Linked DNA regions of Drosophila melanogaster. The protein of the gene in region 1 interacts with the protein of each later gene in a pairwise test. Each region holds a gene or a part of one and is shown on either strand. Other genes may lie near its edges. The genes, in order: Karl and sosie.

The links.
Region 2: the proteins of Karl (region 1) and sosie interact in a two-hybrid assay, tested with the Drosophila melanogaster proteins (one large-scale study listed by BioGRID).

What each region holds. Positions count from the first base shown.
Region 1 is NC_004354.4:11,784,601-11,793,383, forward strand, and holds Karl (karl), read left to right. Parts: upstream 1-2,780; 5' UTR 2,781-3,736; intron 3,737-3,887; exon of another isoform or gene 3,888-4,170; 5' UTR 4,171-4,338; coding exon 4,339-4,503; intron 4,504-6,195; exon of another isoform or gene 6,196-6,257; coding exon 6,258-6,395; exon of another isoform or gene 6,396-6,421; intron 6,422-6,460; coding exon 6,461-6,584; exon of another isoform or gene 6,585-6,603; intron 6,604-6,747; exon of another isoform or gene 6,748-6,757; coding exon 6,758-7,131; 3' UTR 7,132-7,653; downstream 7,654-8,783.
Region 2 is NT_033777.3:24,833,979-24,841,906, reverse strand, and holds sosie (sosie), read right to left. Parts: upstream 5,227-7,928; 5' UTR 4,835-5,226; coding exon 4,690-4,834; intron 3,857-4,689; coding exon 3,710-3,856; intron 2,595-3,709; coding exon 2,418-2,594; intron 2,296-2,417; coding exon 2,204-2,295; 3' UTR 1,419-2,203; downstream 1-1,418. Other genes in the region: CG33658 (uncharacterized protein), read left to right, coding at 744-965, 1,024-1,191, 1,243-1,398.

The DNA.
Region 1 (8,783 bases):
CCGTATAATATTTCACTTGTTAAGTATATAATAAATTTAGTTTTCACTCGTAAATTAGAAACCCAAAAAATAGTTAAATACTCAGTGCAAATATTTAAAGATCATGCAAAATGTCATCGTAAATTAGATGGGCCACTTAACTGGCGTTGAACTTACCCCTCATATTAGGAAGATCATCGTAGATCACTTTCCTCGTTTTTTTCACGACATTCCTCGCATTTCCTTTCTACGGGCCCATAGATTTCAGTTTTTAGTTTTTAGTTTTCAGTTTTCAGTTGACCCCAGTCCATCAGAGGAGGCATTTTCCCAGACTCGAAGCGCCCAAGTAGTGACCACAGCGTTGACATTGGAGAAGGGGACACAGTCTGCGAGTTGGTGAGGCTGGGAAGTCTGGCGAGGATGGGGAGGCTGGGGAGTCTGGAAGCTCGGCCATTCGGACAGCTAGACAAACACACCCACTTTCCAAATGAAAACAAAATCGCGGACCACCAAATAGCAGCACGAAGTCGCCTCCATCCTCTTCCCCCATATTTCCCATTTTGTTTTTATTTTTCTACTCCATCGCCATAAAAATAGTAAAAAAAAAAAAAAAATGAAAAAAAAATGCGAGTGTCTGAGCCGCAGACCGACGATCGTGAAATATCGATGCTGAATGCGACGCGCATGCGCAAACAAAACGGAACCCACTTGATGGGCTATGTTTTTTTTTTTTCTTTCTTTTTCGGCCGATCTTGGACGACGGATGATGAATGGTGGCCATGGGAAGGGCACGCACAGACCCCAAGACCCCAATCCCCACCCAAATTCCCCTCACCGCGGTTTTTCCAGCATTTACGAGCTTGTGTCTCTGCATAATTGAGCCAGCGGCCAGCGAAAACTAGCCATGATCTACGGTGTATCATGTGGCAGCAAGTGTGGCACTCCAAGTAATCCCACACGCTTTCCCAGCCGCACGCACTCGAGATCTGGTGGAGGAGCAGCTGATGGACACCACTGCACTCCAGAATCATGCGCCGAGTGACGCGAGTGGGTAAAAGTTGATTTACTTGCAAAGGCCCAAGATCTTAATAACTTGGCTTAGTTGCGCGAATGGGTTCAAGTTGTAACTAATTGCAAGATTTTAGTGGAATATTGAGGAAATATGCTTAAATATCATATTCAAAACAAATGAAAATGAAATTAGTAGGATATATTAATGTTAAGTTTTAAGTTTAAGATAAGATTAATTAGTGTATCTAAACCATCTTATTTTTGTTTTTTTTTTTTTGTTTTCCATATTTGTGAACTTTATGAGCTTGCCAAGCTACTTTTAAGACGTAAAGTGACCACAACTAGTAGAAATCTTCAACTTCAAAGTAATGGCCATGTAAAATATATATATGTACATATATATATTTGCAATAAAACGAGAAATTTGCCTATCGCTAATCAAGAAGGTCGATTGTCTTGGCAGCTGAAAGTTGCTACCATAATCCATCGGTCTGATCCCAAGTTCGGTATGCCATTAACGAACCCACCGGACGTGGACACCATCCAACAACGTCCAGCTCAATTTCTGCGCTAACTTTTCTGTTTTTTTTTTTTTATTCCACCAATTTGTTGTTGCGTTTTATTTTTGCCATTTTATGCGGCTGTTGTTGCGAATTGCTTGGCAGGCGAGCATCGATCAATTGCAAATAGAAAACAAATCTCCAATCAGCCGGATTGCTCCCATGGATATGCCCATGGGTGGAGCATCGAAAAGAGGGGGAAGGGGGCTCAGCTAGATGGGTTGCGGGTGGGCAATTGGCAACAAAAAACAAAAAAAAAAAAGAGACACCAAACGCAGCGATGCTGCGAAAGAAAGTGTTAAGACCAATTTGGAATATTCGCTGGTGAAATTTAAATCATTTTCAAATTTAATTACCGGCAAATAAACGTTTGACATTCCACACCGCACCGCACCGCACCAGACATTCCGTCGACTGTCACCTGTAGCTCAAGCTCCAGCTCAAGCTCACCTGTGGATTCCGATTCCGGCTGCAAAGATTTCAGTTTTCAGTTGCCCCACCTGTTGCCCCATTCAGTTTTTGGATGGCAGCTCGAATTCGAAGTCGGATTCGGGTGTGGCACTCCCAGTGAGTGAGGCATTCCGATTCCGGCTACAGACCCCCATTTATGTGGCCATTTCATTTGGATGGATGGATGATCGCCTGGCGTGGCCAAAAGATCTCAGCCAGAGTCGTTCATTGAGAAAACGCAATGGGTAGCCGGATGAGAACACTGCGAGAAACTGGCGATTACTTAAGTGCTATTGCTTAAAATATTACATTAAACGAAGGGTTTATTTAAATTCACAATGTTTAAGCCAGCTCACTTTCTGATTTGGTATTTCAAAATAAATATCTTTAGCTGAACTTAAGAATACCCAAATAGTTCTATAGCATTTTAATAAACCTTTAACTATTTTAACGTAGCTTATTATAGCTTAAAATAAATTATTCGAATTGGAAAGTATATTTAAATATATTCATGATATCCTATTTAGTTGAATAGGCTTCAAAATGTTCGCCCACATATGGGTTAAGGACTTTCGGAATGTTGGCCTACTTATTCGGTTTCGCTATCTTCCTCCCCGCTGATCCTGTCCTTCATCCGCCCTTGATCTTGGTTTTCATTCATCCCGGCACACACACACACGCACAAGCTCCATTTTGAGAGAGAGAAAAAGCGTGCAGAGAGAGTGGAAAATAGAGAGAGCTAGAGAGCGAAAGGAGCAGGCGACATTTCTTCGATTGCGCACTTGTTGCTTTAGTTCGTTTCATTTCGTCTCGCTGCCGCATTAAGAGCCGCTTTTCGCTTCGGTGCGTCTGCGAAGGGGCGGAAGGTGGTGCTGAGAAGAGGGGGGTGGCGAATGGTGGGAGAAAGGCGATGGAAGGGGCAAGGAAGGAGCTGCCGTAGAAGCCGGAACTGGCCGCTAACGCATCGCAACGCAATGCGGCGACGAAAGTTGCGCCGCTTTTTTGGGCTGGCCAACAAAAAACCAGACGGCTCCAAAAGAAATGGGAGAAAAAAGCAAAAAAAAAAAGACGAAGCTAAAAAGAAGCTAAACTGCAGACGCAGGCGGAAGAAGAAGCGGCGGCGGCGGCGGCAAAAGTAGCAACCTTCGAGGATGTCCAGTTTCATTCCAGTCCGGTCGTGAAAATGCCGCGCAACTCGTTTCGCAATAAAGAGAAAGTGTCCAGCGGATCGCGCTGTTCGTTCTGGCGATCGTAAAGAATAAATTTGCAGGCTATTAAAATGTTTCCTGTTTCCACTCACCACCGCTCAACGCTCCCCGCTCTCACCCGCTCTTTTCCGCATCCACTTCGCCACCCCGAAAATTTCGCTCTCCGCGGCGAGAAAGTTGCCTGGAAATCTGGAAATCTGCATCCATGCGACAAGTGAAAACAAGATGCAGCCAAAAATACCTACTCCCGTTCCCCAGACTCTATATATTTCCATACAAGCCTGCAAATATGTGTATGTATATGCTTACATACATAGGTATGTGCGCATTGGAAGGCGTTGACTGGACTTTACTGGCAAACGGACGTTATAATTGATAAGAGCGACTAACTCACCCGCGCTCTTGAGAGCAAGGGGAAATGGAACGGCGGCTGATTAAGTTCCAATATTAAACTGCTGAAAAGAGATGGCATCGCCTTGGAAAACCGCTAATCTTTCGGTGCTAGCGATTACAGGAAGTAATGGAAAGGTGTAGGAAAACATATCTTGGTTCTGAAATTGTATACTTTTTATTTAAATAATTTAATTGGTTATATTGTAATTAAATGTCACGACAACTGCTACTTTTTCCCGCTCAAATCCACTCCTATATATGGCTAAAATCGAGCCAAGTGCTCAGTAATGTCATTTATTTCCAGCTACCCGATAATGACCCAGCCACAGCTATTCCCATAGAATTCTGTGGCAATAAGAAGGCGCCTTATCCGCAAAAACATCCGAATCCGTTGCGTTCCGATTTGTTGTGCACTCGAAGAAACAACTCTCAATATTTAATAGTAAAAATAATTTTAAGATCAAGGAATACTTTAGAACCCTAGATTAAGACACTTAAATAGTGTGATGGCACTTACTGAGATCTCCAAGACTTCCAAAACTAAAGTTATTGCACCACTGTGTGCCAAGATTTTTTAGAGTGTACTTATTGCTGACTGCTAATGTCGCATGTTGCTCGCGGAGATGGCGCAGTGCCATCGAAAACAGTTCCAGCTACAGCGCAACGGAGATCGAGCGTCTGAACCCGCCGGAAGATCAACGACAATAAATAATTGTAGCTCACCGTCATCCGGATTAATGGAGAGGATCATGGGCAGGAATGGATCGCTCCTACTGACCGCCGTCCTCATAATTATCCTGGATGTTTTGCTTGCACCAGTGGGTGCCAACCTGTGGACACGACACAATAGCAATGCCTATCAAACCAGGAGGCGCTCAGGTCCCAGCAATCGGTGTCCCAAGGTAAGTACATCACCCACTAGCCCCTCCTATCAAGGTCAACTAAACATTGTAGAGCATAAATATACATATATGTGGTTCATACTATGACTCAGACTCTTGATAGAGATGTAATCTTGCTGAGTAAAAAGCCCCTTATGAAATTCAAATTATGACTTAGAGAAAATAACAACACTTGTTTCAAACCAACCAACCAGATATTAAGGTCACCTTCGGGCGATGAATTTGGCTAAGCGAATAGAACGGCAGACAGTCGAGGCAATCCATTAGATAGTCGGACGCAGGTGCAGTTTTGGATGTACAGGTTCCCGTCCCTGGTCACGTCCCCGGCCTCTTCTAACTGGATCACTTTCTTTGGCAACGCTTCGATTCGATTTCATTCTAAGCACAGCCGCCGGAGGAGGAAAGCATCTCAAATCCAAGCCCAAAAGCGAGTCAAACTCAAAGGCTCATCAATATGCCGGGCGCACTGTGACACATTTCAAGTCGCTAGTGATGGCACCATCTAGTTAGCTGGTACAAAAAAAAAAATAGCGCCTACAGTCGAACTTCCTTAAATCAAACGACTCTGTGGCAATAGCTATGAATTCTAACCTCAAAGATAGTATAATATTCGGTTATAATAGTACTATGGGTCTTATAATAGACTTTCCTGTGTCCTGCCCCACTGGAAATCATCCAACGATTGACGGGAACGTTCCATCTCTAGCGAATAGAATGAATGGGACATAAAGCGAGCGCAGAAAGAGCCAGGCAGAAGAAATGGGCTCACACCGATGCCAAAATCAATCACACTTTCTAAGTGGCTCAGACGTCGTCTGAGTCTTGTCTTGTCTTCTCTTCTCTTCTCTGCCCGTCCCCTTTCTTCTCACTCCCCTCTCTTCATCGTCTGCATCTCCGTTGGCGGCGACAATTGCACTTTGATGCAGGTGCAGTTCGACAAATACTGCTACGAATACAAACACCGAAAAGCGAGCCAAAAGTCAGAAAACAATCAGCAATAATAGACAAAAGACACGCACGTAGAGACCCGAAGAAAGAGATGGCGGGAAGACAGTGCCGAAAGAGGGGGTGCAGTGAAAAGGGGATAAGGGGGGGGGGGGGGGCACATGCGGTGCAATGCGCTTTTGAGGCGCATCAATCAGAGGCTGTCTTGCGTCTGCATCTCGTGTCTGCGCGTCGCGACTTGCAAAACAGCGAAAGAGACGGCAACAGCGGTGCAGAGAGAGGGACGGCCATACTGACTTCTCAATGAACTGTCAGTAGTCAATCACGGTGACAGCGCTAACGGCTTTCGTCGTCTGTCGCTTCTTCGACTCTTTCACCAACCGAAGTTTGTTTTGTTTTGTGGTCGCCAGGGCAAACAATGTAAATACACACATGCAGCTAGCTAAGTTGAATTGGGATTATAGCCAAGATGCATTTGTGGTCTTAACGTTTATTGGGCATATTTATTAGCAGCCCTGACCTCTCAAATATCATAATAATGATCGTACACCAGGGTTTTTAAATACCCATTAAAAAGCACGACTGTCTCAAGAGTTATTATAAATATAAGATATGTATGTGAATCTTAACCAGAAACCCTCGCTGTCTAATGTATATATATATAGGTAATAGAAAAAAACTCCTATCATAAAGTATAATAGATCTTTATCATTATAGATTACATTATATATTATATTATACAACATTATAAAGACCTCCTCTAAATTACTTACATATCTAACTTATTATGGAACTAATTTTCCGTTTAGGTGGGAGCCATTAAGAACTTCGATTTGGAGCGCATGATGGGCTGTTGGCACGTGGTTCAGTATTACGCATCCACAGAGGAACTTCCGGAGTACGCGTGCATGCGCAGTCACTTTTCCTTTTCCAAAGAGGATCAGCATGTGAGTGGCAGCAAGGACCTTTATCCCTATTACAAATTATACCTCAATACCTCAATTTAAATTAGATAACGATGAACTTTAGCTACATATTTGCGGAGGATCCGCTGCGCGAGAAGCTCGTGGGCAACATCACCTGGATGATACCCAAATTCCAAGAGCCAGGACATTGGCAGCACACGGAGGACATATGTGAGTGATGGAAATGTTTCTACAATCAAATTCAAAACGAAAATCTATTCAAAATGTAGTTGTGATACGTTTGAAGTAGTTTGGTAATTACTATGCCAAAGAGTAATTCGATCTGCCCGGGTTTAATATATGTTTTAAGCAGTATTTTCGTTTCTATATGTACCTCCTTGCAGATGAGGGCATCTACAACACATACGTTCTGGACACGGACTACGACACCTGGGGCCTGGTGATGCACTGCGCCGAGAAGAAGAAGCAACCACGTTACCTGTCCGCCCTGCTTTTGTCGCGGAAAACATCGTTGGCCGACAACGAGATCAGCTTTCTGCGCGGCAAGTTGCCGCAGGATATCGACACATCCTTTATGTTTAACATCGGGCAGGAATCGTGCGACAATCTAATGGAATCTAGTCGCGACGATCCACTGGCCTATGTTGTGAATGGACGCAAGAGAGCCAAGGAAATCTTCAAAATTATCAATAAGCCTGACGGCAGAGTGCGCGCTAGTAGCGAAGCGAGAAGCTATGAGCAAAGCGAGAAGCTGTGAGCAAAGCGAGTCGATGGCAGAGTAAGAGCTAAGCGAGAAACGAGCTACATTGCTCTCTTTTAGTTATTAATGTGAACGTGATGGATTCGGACGAGGAATTTTTTGCATCAAGCGCAACTATTAACTTTCTGTTAAAACTGTCGTCCACCCTCTTAACTGAAATAGAAATGAAAAAGGCGAATTCAATAATTTATATAAAAGGTTATTTACAGAATGGAACAAGACAAAACAAAATAACGTGTGTTTTGAAAATAAACGGTAATATAGCGCAGAATATAACAAAACAATCGTACGCCCTGAGCGAGTTGAAGCGATAAGGCCTTGCTCTCGCTTTTTCGCTTAAGCTCGCAACTCGCTTCGCTCTCACTCTGACATCTTTCGAGCGATTGCGCTTAAAATGCATGCAGTGGGTTTATCGCTCGTTCTTGTATTATTAGTCTAATCAATCAACTAAGAGAAAATATTATACGAAAACCCGATTTATTTTGTCAATAATACAAATTTAAATAAGCACTTTCAAACATTTCAAACTTTCAACATAGTGTTACCATACAACTAAACGAAATAATACCTTAAAGTAGTTGTAAGAAAATATTGCTAGCTGCAATCGGTAAATTATTTGACAAATGGCAAAACAGCCAACTAAATGCTGGTAATAAACAATATTTTAATATTTGGCTTGATTTGCTTATTTAACAAATAATTCCGCGTTTTGTTTGGTTAATTGCTTTTCCGAACCAGTGTTGCGAAACGCGCAATCCCGATTAGCCGATACATCGCTTAGCGATGACACGGCGCCACATCGATTGGCAATCGCCTGCGGACAGCGCAGGACAGCGGTAATCGATAGTCGAGATTGCATACCTGATATCATCGTCTTCGCTACAATATTTGCCTTTACCGGTTCAGCTGCAGTACAAAAGTCGATCAATTTGAGTAATTATTAACAATTTGGGTGAGTGCTGGCCACTGGAAGATAGCCGCAGCGGGAAAAATACAGAATAGCAAGTTGGTGTGCGTTGGATTGCGCTCATCGGTGTAAAGGCGTGCGTGTGTGCACGTCCCTATGTGCGCTTCGCGGTGTGCGTGTTTGCTTGTGTGCGTGTGGTGGCCCCTGTATATGTGTCTCTTTTTTTCTCAATTTCCAACAGTGTGTGCTTCTTCTTGCTGCTCGGCACATTTTGTATGAGCGCTTGTCAATTGTCACAATACGAGTATAAAAATTTATTTTTATGCCCCCCGACCACACGAATTTCAACGGTGCGATCACCGAAAACTAGTAACATTGTACAAGCAACGCGAATTAAACGGAAAACCGAAAACAAAAACCCCAAAAGGCCAATCCAACCAAAAAAAAAGAGGAGGAAAGAAGAAAAAAGCGGAAAAAGAGAGTGTGGTTTGTGCGAGCAACAAGAAGCGGAACCAAAAGGAAACGTGAAGAAAGCAGGGGGGGTGGGGTAGACAAGAAAGTGCCAAGATTCCGTTCCAAGATATTTTAACAATAAATTTCGCACGCCAGCCCAAATTACGCAAAATAATCCCCTTAATGTATGTAATAGTGCGTGAGCGTTTGTCCCAGTGTGTGTGCCATGATTGCCTGTGTGTGTGAGAGTGCGGTGTGCATGTGTGGTATGCGTGTGCAGGATAATTTG
Region 2 (7,928 bases), on another chromosome or scaffold:
TGTGATCCGAGAGTGGAGCTTTGTGTGCCCGCGCCGAGCTTTTCACTTCCACTACAGCCCCCATTTCTCTGCGCTCTTTCACCAAATCCCCGATTGCCCGATTCTCCGATTCTCCGCGAGAAATTTGAAAGTAATCAGCGAATGGGGGCCAGCGAAAGGCGTTGGCATTACAAAATATCCAGCTTGTTAACATATTGAAAACTGTGCTGCTGCATTAAATCTACACCGAACTATTTATAATCAATGCCGTGCATTTAATCGATTTGGGTTGGATAACCGATCGTTTGGACGGAGACGCAAGTGTAGTTAGAAATGGGAATTTCTATTGGGGGGGGAAGCTAATTGTCCTTGGAATTTAAAATACGAGTAGATTTCATATCCGTAGTAAGTCAGTATCACAGCTTATCTGGCCTGAAATCGATTTCATAAATATTGCAACTATGTAAATATTTCCTTATTCATAATCATAAGGGGTATGTTTATTGTCTAATACATGCCTTGCCTTAGGAGTGCGTACGTTCCAGTTCACTGGATCCAATTTTCGTCTGGCTTATCTGCATATAACTAGCAATTAAAGAAATTAAGGTAAAAGCAATCATTACCAAATATTAATTTCAGATTTTTTTCCTGATTTCAATGAGTCCGATATAATGAAAATGTAGCTTCAGTCTCACTTGATATCCGAATGAATTGAAATGTGCTTAGAAAAATACTTTTGCTTCGTGCTTCTATTGCATTTCATCATGATAAACCAGGTCAGAGGTTATAAACAAATTAATAGGCAATATACAATAGCTTTCACTAAAACACAGATTTATTCTCATATCGAGTTCACGAACTTCAAGTGCACATCCATGGCTAAGGACGTGGCCGATATCGAATACTGTTTTCTAAAATCAGTTAATCGAACTTATCAATACCTCTCCACCCGGATTAAGGTATTAAAATTACTGAACAGCCTAAAGGTTAGTTAAGCAAGTTTAGTTGTTTAGCAATCTATTGAGTAAAATTATTATATTTCAGGTGAATTTTGGATTGCACCAGCAGATCAATGGGTATAAGCCCTTCCTATACAACATCACTATTGACGGTTGCCAATTCATGAAGAACACAAAGTCCAATGTAGTCGCCAAATACTTTTACGATTTTATAAGGAATATCAGCAACTTGAATCATTCCTGTCCGTACAACGTAAGAAAGATCGTGTTCCCTATTCCAACTAATCATTCCCACGTTTTTTAGCACGACATTATAATGGAGAAACTTACCTCTGAGACTATTAATTCCCGACTACCAAAAACTCTGCCCTTTCCCACAGGAAACTACATGTTTCAGACCTATTGGATTGCCAATGAAAAGTACCGTGTGGTAACCAAGATATATTTCTGTCATTATTGATGGAAAAGTACTATTCGTTTGGGTTTTTAAAGGTTTTTATTAAATAGTATAGATAACAGCTACGAAGAAAACGGTTTTAATGGGTGAAATTCTTATCTGGACCTGCAACTTGGACATGAAAATATTATTAACTTTTATCGTCTCCCATATTTTATTATTATTATTATTATTATTATTCCATTCGATTATGGGCTGTGAGCTCGTAAAGCTATTTATATTGAATACATACAAAAATTAAAAATGTTTCACATTTGTAATTGCGATGTAAGCGATCTGAATTCACAGTGCTGCTGAAAAGTTGCCTATCACTAGATAATTTCTCTCGATTTTTAGTGATTATTCCTGGACACACACGTACACTCATATAAAATTACAATAAAATGGTGCCTAACATTTGATCTAAAGTTACTTCGGTCTGTCTAGTGTAGGGAGTACGGACTAAGTTCGATTGGGGATCTATGGAAAACGTTTATCAGATAATATAATTATGTATATTGTATATAACGCAACTTTTCGTGAGAAGCGAATAAACTTGACGGTGGTACATATGAAACTTATACAATAGAACGACTTTTAGGCTAATGGCGACGAGTATCTAACTTTCTTAATTTCATTTCCACGTATTTTCTCTTATTTTTTTCGCTTTTCAAGATTTACTTTTCGTATTTTTTTATATGTGAGGGGTTAGTGGTAGGGGTAGGATGATCTTTTGTTTCTGTTGGTTTCACTGAGGCACATTTGATGGATCACTGGGGTAGATAAACGCCAAACTACGTCTTCCGGTTCCGCTTTCGACGATCGCCTTCTAGAAATGCTTTCGCATGTGGGCGGATACCAAAAAGGGCGCCAGAAGTGAGCAGATCGAGACCAAGAAGCTGACCAGGCCCTGAAGATTAGCTGAAAGGCAAAGAAGATGGATTAGGAACCATGATACATCCTATTTTTGTGTGTACTATATTTGTAATACTATGACAATAGTTATAATAGTTATGGAATGTATTGGATGAGAAACCTCTCACCTCCACTGCAGATGTCGTGCAGGATGTCCTCCACATATCCGTTGTCGTTGTCGCAGAGACACAGCTTGGTCTTGCTGGACATGAACTTGGCCACTCCGATGGTGCGGTTGCTGTTCTCGTACTGGCACACCATTCCATCCTCGCAGTCGTTGTTGCTGTTGCACTTGTGACGCAGGCCTGCAAAATGCGCAAATATTATTAAGATATTAGCATACCGCCAGTGGAATTAGCTATACTCCATGCTTATAACTAAATTTAAACCGACTCAATACACCGGTATCATTTAGCAGCCATTTTATTATAATAACGCTATTATGCAGACCTATAATAGTCTGGAAATTCTATACTCTGGTGTATTACAATGTATCCCCGCCAGAAAGTAGATCTCCAACACGGAGAACAACTCCCAATGCCAAAAACTGGGGAAACGTGCATGCAAAAATCGCGTATAACATTTCTTCTGGGCTGTGCATGTCACAAATTGGCACTGCGGCGATTCCCATTACCATTTGCCTCTCGTTTGGGGCCTCGTTTGAGTTGCCCCATCGGAGGAGTCACGACATCCTAACATAAATCCGACATCGACATTGCGCCGCCATAAAGCGGTCCACCTCTGGCCCCGCCAAGAACTGGAGTGGAGCTGGAGGAGGGCTGGAGAACTGGGAAACTAGAGGACCCAAGACCAAAGGACCAAAGAACCAAGGGACTGTAGGGCCAACAATGGCGGGCACATGACCCAAGGATGCCGAGAAGGCAAGTGTGAATCGCGCACGGAAAACTAAATAAATAAGCAGGCAAATAGCGAAGAAAGGTGAAAGTGGGCTTTGGGGGTGGCCATTCTGGAAGGATGCTTCTTTGTTTAATTCTCATTTAGGTGGCGCCTTGGACGCATCACCTCACATGCCACTTGAGGCACTGGCTCATCACGGAGGAGGCCTCCAAGAAAGCAGCGGCCTCTTAAATAATAAATGTAATGTGCATGTCTTAGCAATTAGCTGACTTTTTGTTGGCTGTTCTATTTCGGGAAACGAGCTAAAGGATTCTGCAAAGGCGGGCGGTCAAAGGAGCGGAGATACAGAACATTATGATTAATATTTAACATCAATGATTTTTTAATTTTTTTAACATAAATAAATAGTAACTAACTGACTAGTAACTAAAGCATATCAGCCGCGAAAAATTTATTTTTAGGAATGCTGTTTAAGTGTCAGTGGTTTCTCTAGATTACAACTTGTATATTTATATCCTTGGGGAATATGGGTAAGTACTTTTCTATATAGGTGATACATTACCTTTCAGGACATCTGGACAGCTGCCAGCCGAAGGAGGCGAGTCGTCGCCGCATAGGCAACGCAGCTTGTAGTCATTGGGATCCTTGACGCAGCTGGTGCGATCTATCGCCGTGCAATCATCGTGGGCACTGCACTCTCGTCCTTTAACTGCAATTAATGATAGGAATCCAAGTTAAAAAAGGACACTTAACTAGCCAGTTTGCCTAGCTAATTGCCCACTAATTGTGTGATTATTTGGGTACCAACTTGAGCCAACACAAATCACCGCTTGTCCGCCTATCTATATCTACTCTATCCGTTTCGGTTTACCAACTCCAATCACAGGGATATTACCGCCCCCGCTCCTAATGTCAGGGATTCGTGGAGCGTGGGTTGTCATTGCACTTGAGTGACTTGTTTGATCAATTCTCGATTCGATTTGTGTTAGCAATGTTCTGTGTTCTGTGTCGTGTCGTTCAATCTGTGCTGGCTCTGTGCCATAATTATTATTCCATTTATTTATGAGCGACTACCAAGTCAATCGAATGACAAATGATTGGATCAGACAAACTGGATGGTTGGCTATTTGTTTGGCTAACGACCAGGTGTCTTAATTAGCGGTTAATCGAACTTAAGTGATGTGGGGCTTTATCGGGAAGGTCTAAGACAACGTATATATCACATTATAATGAGAGTCAAGTTAAGTGCATTAAAATAGTTAACTTCTAACTCAAAATCAGTTTTTTAAAACAGAAGTTAATGTATCTCTTTGTTTGGTATTTTTCTTAAAGAATAATCTTATATGAATATTGTTATAGTAATAGTAGTCATATTCACTTATCGGCTAATGCTGGAGTACGAGTTATAGCAAAATTACTGCACGATTACTTTTAAACTCGAACCACTTTTAATCCCTCGCCCAATCTTGACAAGAAACTCCTCTTGACCTTGCCAGCGACTTTGATGGGCCTTTTCGTTACCAACCCCGGGGGTTCTCTTACCAATTGGGACGTGCGTGGGAGGCGGCTGATTGTTGGTCTTGCCAAAAGTGGTCAGAGCCGTGGAGCTGACCCCGAAGAGGATGATGAAGATGCCGAAGAGCATGGTCAGACTGCCGCATTGTGTGAAGCGCTTCAGGGGCTGCATTTTGGAATCGGTAACTAATCGAGTTTTGAGTCGAGACCAGGACTTGAAGAAGTCGGAAAGAAGTCCTTTTTCGGGTCTTATATAAATTCCACAGGACCGCAACGGGTTGCACACGCACTTTGCGAGCTTGAAAAACGGCCCAAAGGCTTTAAATTGGTTTACTTAACGCTTTTTTCGTTTCTATGTCGGTTTCGCGGGCACAATTTTATGCAAATTTTCACACCGAAATCGTTTCCGCTCCGCCAGAAAGTCCGAAGCAAAACAAAACCGCACGAGAGGCGTCACTCCAAAAAATCTCCAATACTTTGGGGCACTCGCTATAGTCGCAACTTCCACTTGGGGTCTTCGGACGGGTAGCTCCAACCAGTCGCCTGCGCGCTCGAAATGCAAGTGAAGAATTCGCGGCGCACACGGACCTTAAGTTGCTGCGATGTCGCTGCTGGTGGCTACTTGGCGCTCGCGCACACCGGCGCCACCTTCCACCTCCCACCTGCCACCATCTGCTACCCATCTGAGTGCTCCTCGCCAGCTAGCCACCCACCGCCCCCGCAGTCCGCTCACCTGCTCAGCCAGGCATAGAACCCCTTTGCCACATTGGCGGCGAATGATAGTCGTCTTCCAGATACCCTTATATCATACTTAAGTTCCCACTCAGCAAATCTTCTTTAATACTTTGTATAATAACAATACATAATATACTTGTATTTATTTTAGTAAATTGGAAGTTGAGATACCATATAGTTATGTACTTATGTTACATGTGTAATTTTAACAGAAGTCTATACTCTACAATTGGAAGTGAAGTTCTGGTTTGTTAAAAACAACAGCTTCATATTTCATTCTTAAAAAAATAACTCATAATATATATGGTAAAATATATACAACTGAATATCAAGTTAAACAATACAGGTTTTTATGCGTTATGGGAAACGATTCTGCTGACGCACACAAAAATTGGCAGCAATGAGCTTCCCACAAAATGATAAAACATTAATTTTAGATGTAGGCAACCAAGTATACATACGTCCAACCAATTGCGGCTGAGTAGAAATGAATTCACGCATTCCGGGACATTCCATAAAATCGGATTCCAGAAGGACAGACACCCGCATGCATAATTAAGAGATCCCCCAAGTGGGCAAAGGGTATTCCACCTAACCAATGTTTCGCTGACAAGAAGCTAGATAGCATGGAATCTCCGGGCAGATTTCGAAACTTTCGCAGGCAGTATGGGATTAGTTTTGGGCCGTATGCTATATGGTATATGCTATATGGTGTATGGAAAGTGAGCTGCGACGCACTTGTAACTGTTTCGCTGCTTTTGTGTATTTCGTGAGCGAGTTTTGTTAACGAAGATGGATTTTTGTAGCTGCCTCACCTTCGTGCACCTGTTTTTATTGTAGCCGCTGGCGGTGGCGACCTCGTCCTTTTCTCCTCGTCCTCGTCTTGGGTGTGTGTGTGTGGCAGTGGGTGTGTGTGTGGGAACTATAATAATGACGAAGGCATTAGAGGCATACGACCATTGCATAGCCTACTTTTTGGGGCCCACGGAGTTGAGCAACAGCCACAACAACAATAAAGTGTAACATTAGCACGCACCAGGCGAAACAACAACAGAAACTGGTTAGTCAAAGGCAAATAGTTATTTTGGCCATTATTCTTTGCTCGCTCCCTAATTTCTCCTGCCGTTGTTTATGATTATTTTTTCCCCCTTTTTTTACTTTTGGGCGCTGCATGGCCCTAATTACATTTGCTAAATTGCCCAGATGAGAGTGGCTTGCTTGTTGCTTTCAACTTTTAACTTTTTTAACTTTCAGCTGCAGAATGCAGCTAAGCTGTCCAAAAAAGAAAGGTGACTGGCCACGCCCCTTTAGCCCAATTTGGCAAGGCACCATTTAGGCGGATATCGAACAGGCAGAAACGGATGCCCAACTTTTGGCCATGTCTGCTTCAATCGTCTAAATATACGAAGCTCCACTTTTCAAACTGAGCCAATAATTTACACCCACCCATTCGAAGAGGAACACTTTGAGGTCAGTTGGGACATGAAGAACTCGCCCAATTTGCCAAACACAAATTCCTTTGCACTTCATGTACTTTCGACCCTCTTCCGACTCCGATTGTGGAAAATGTCAGGCTATATGGGTCCTGGTGCTCCTTATCTGCCTTCTCGATCGCCTTATAAACGATTGCTTTAATCGCTGCGACAGCATAAACAATTTTCTCCAACTAAATGCGAATTTATATCGCACACGCACAGCGAACGGAAAGGAAGTCCAGAAAATATATTCACGAAAATCGGTGGATATAACTAAATGGGACACGAATCTGGTCGGGTTCAAGGACCGTGGAAAGCATTAAGCCAATTTTGGAAAATATATTTCAGATATCCTAATATCTCTGTTTGCTTAACTTATATTAGAAAATTTTTATGATTTTCTTCAAAAATTGTAAAAGGTAAAAAAATTATTTTGAGCGATATTGAAGAGATTTATAAGACACGTGGGTCATTTTAAAGAATTGGATGTACTTAAAATTATTTAAATAAGTTAAAAGGCACTAATTATATTGGATTTCGTAATTGTTTTTCTAGATTTGCCGACTTGACAATGATTTATTCCATAGTACTTTCTCCATTTACGCAAATCCCGCCGCACCGCGTCATTCGGAATGGAAAATATTTATATTTACATGTAAAAATAAGTTCCTTTAATTATTATTCAGCCAGTCCAGTCCATTCAATTCGCCATGCGGCAGAGTCTGAAATTTATTTCGGATATTTATTTCTTGACATTATTGATAAATGTTGCCGGGCACAGCAGAGAAACGGAAAACAAGCAGGAAAATTATATGGAAAACTCACGAAATCTTTTCGCCAAATCAGAAACTGCAGCGAATCGTAGGCGCCGCCAGTGGGTTTTCCCCCTCCCCTCTCCAAGGAAAATGCGAAAGACCACCGTAATTAAAGAACTAATTCGCTTTCAACAATTTGGGCGTCATGTTTTTGCTCTTAACTGATGATTAATTAGTGCGACTGTAGAATTTCTACCAGCGATATATAATTTTCTCACGAAATCTCATCGAGCTGTACACT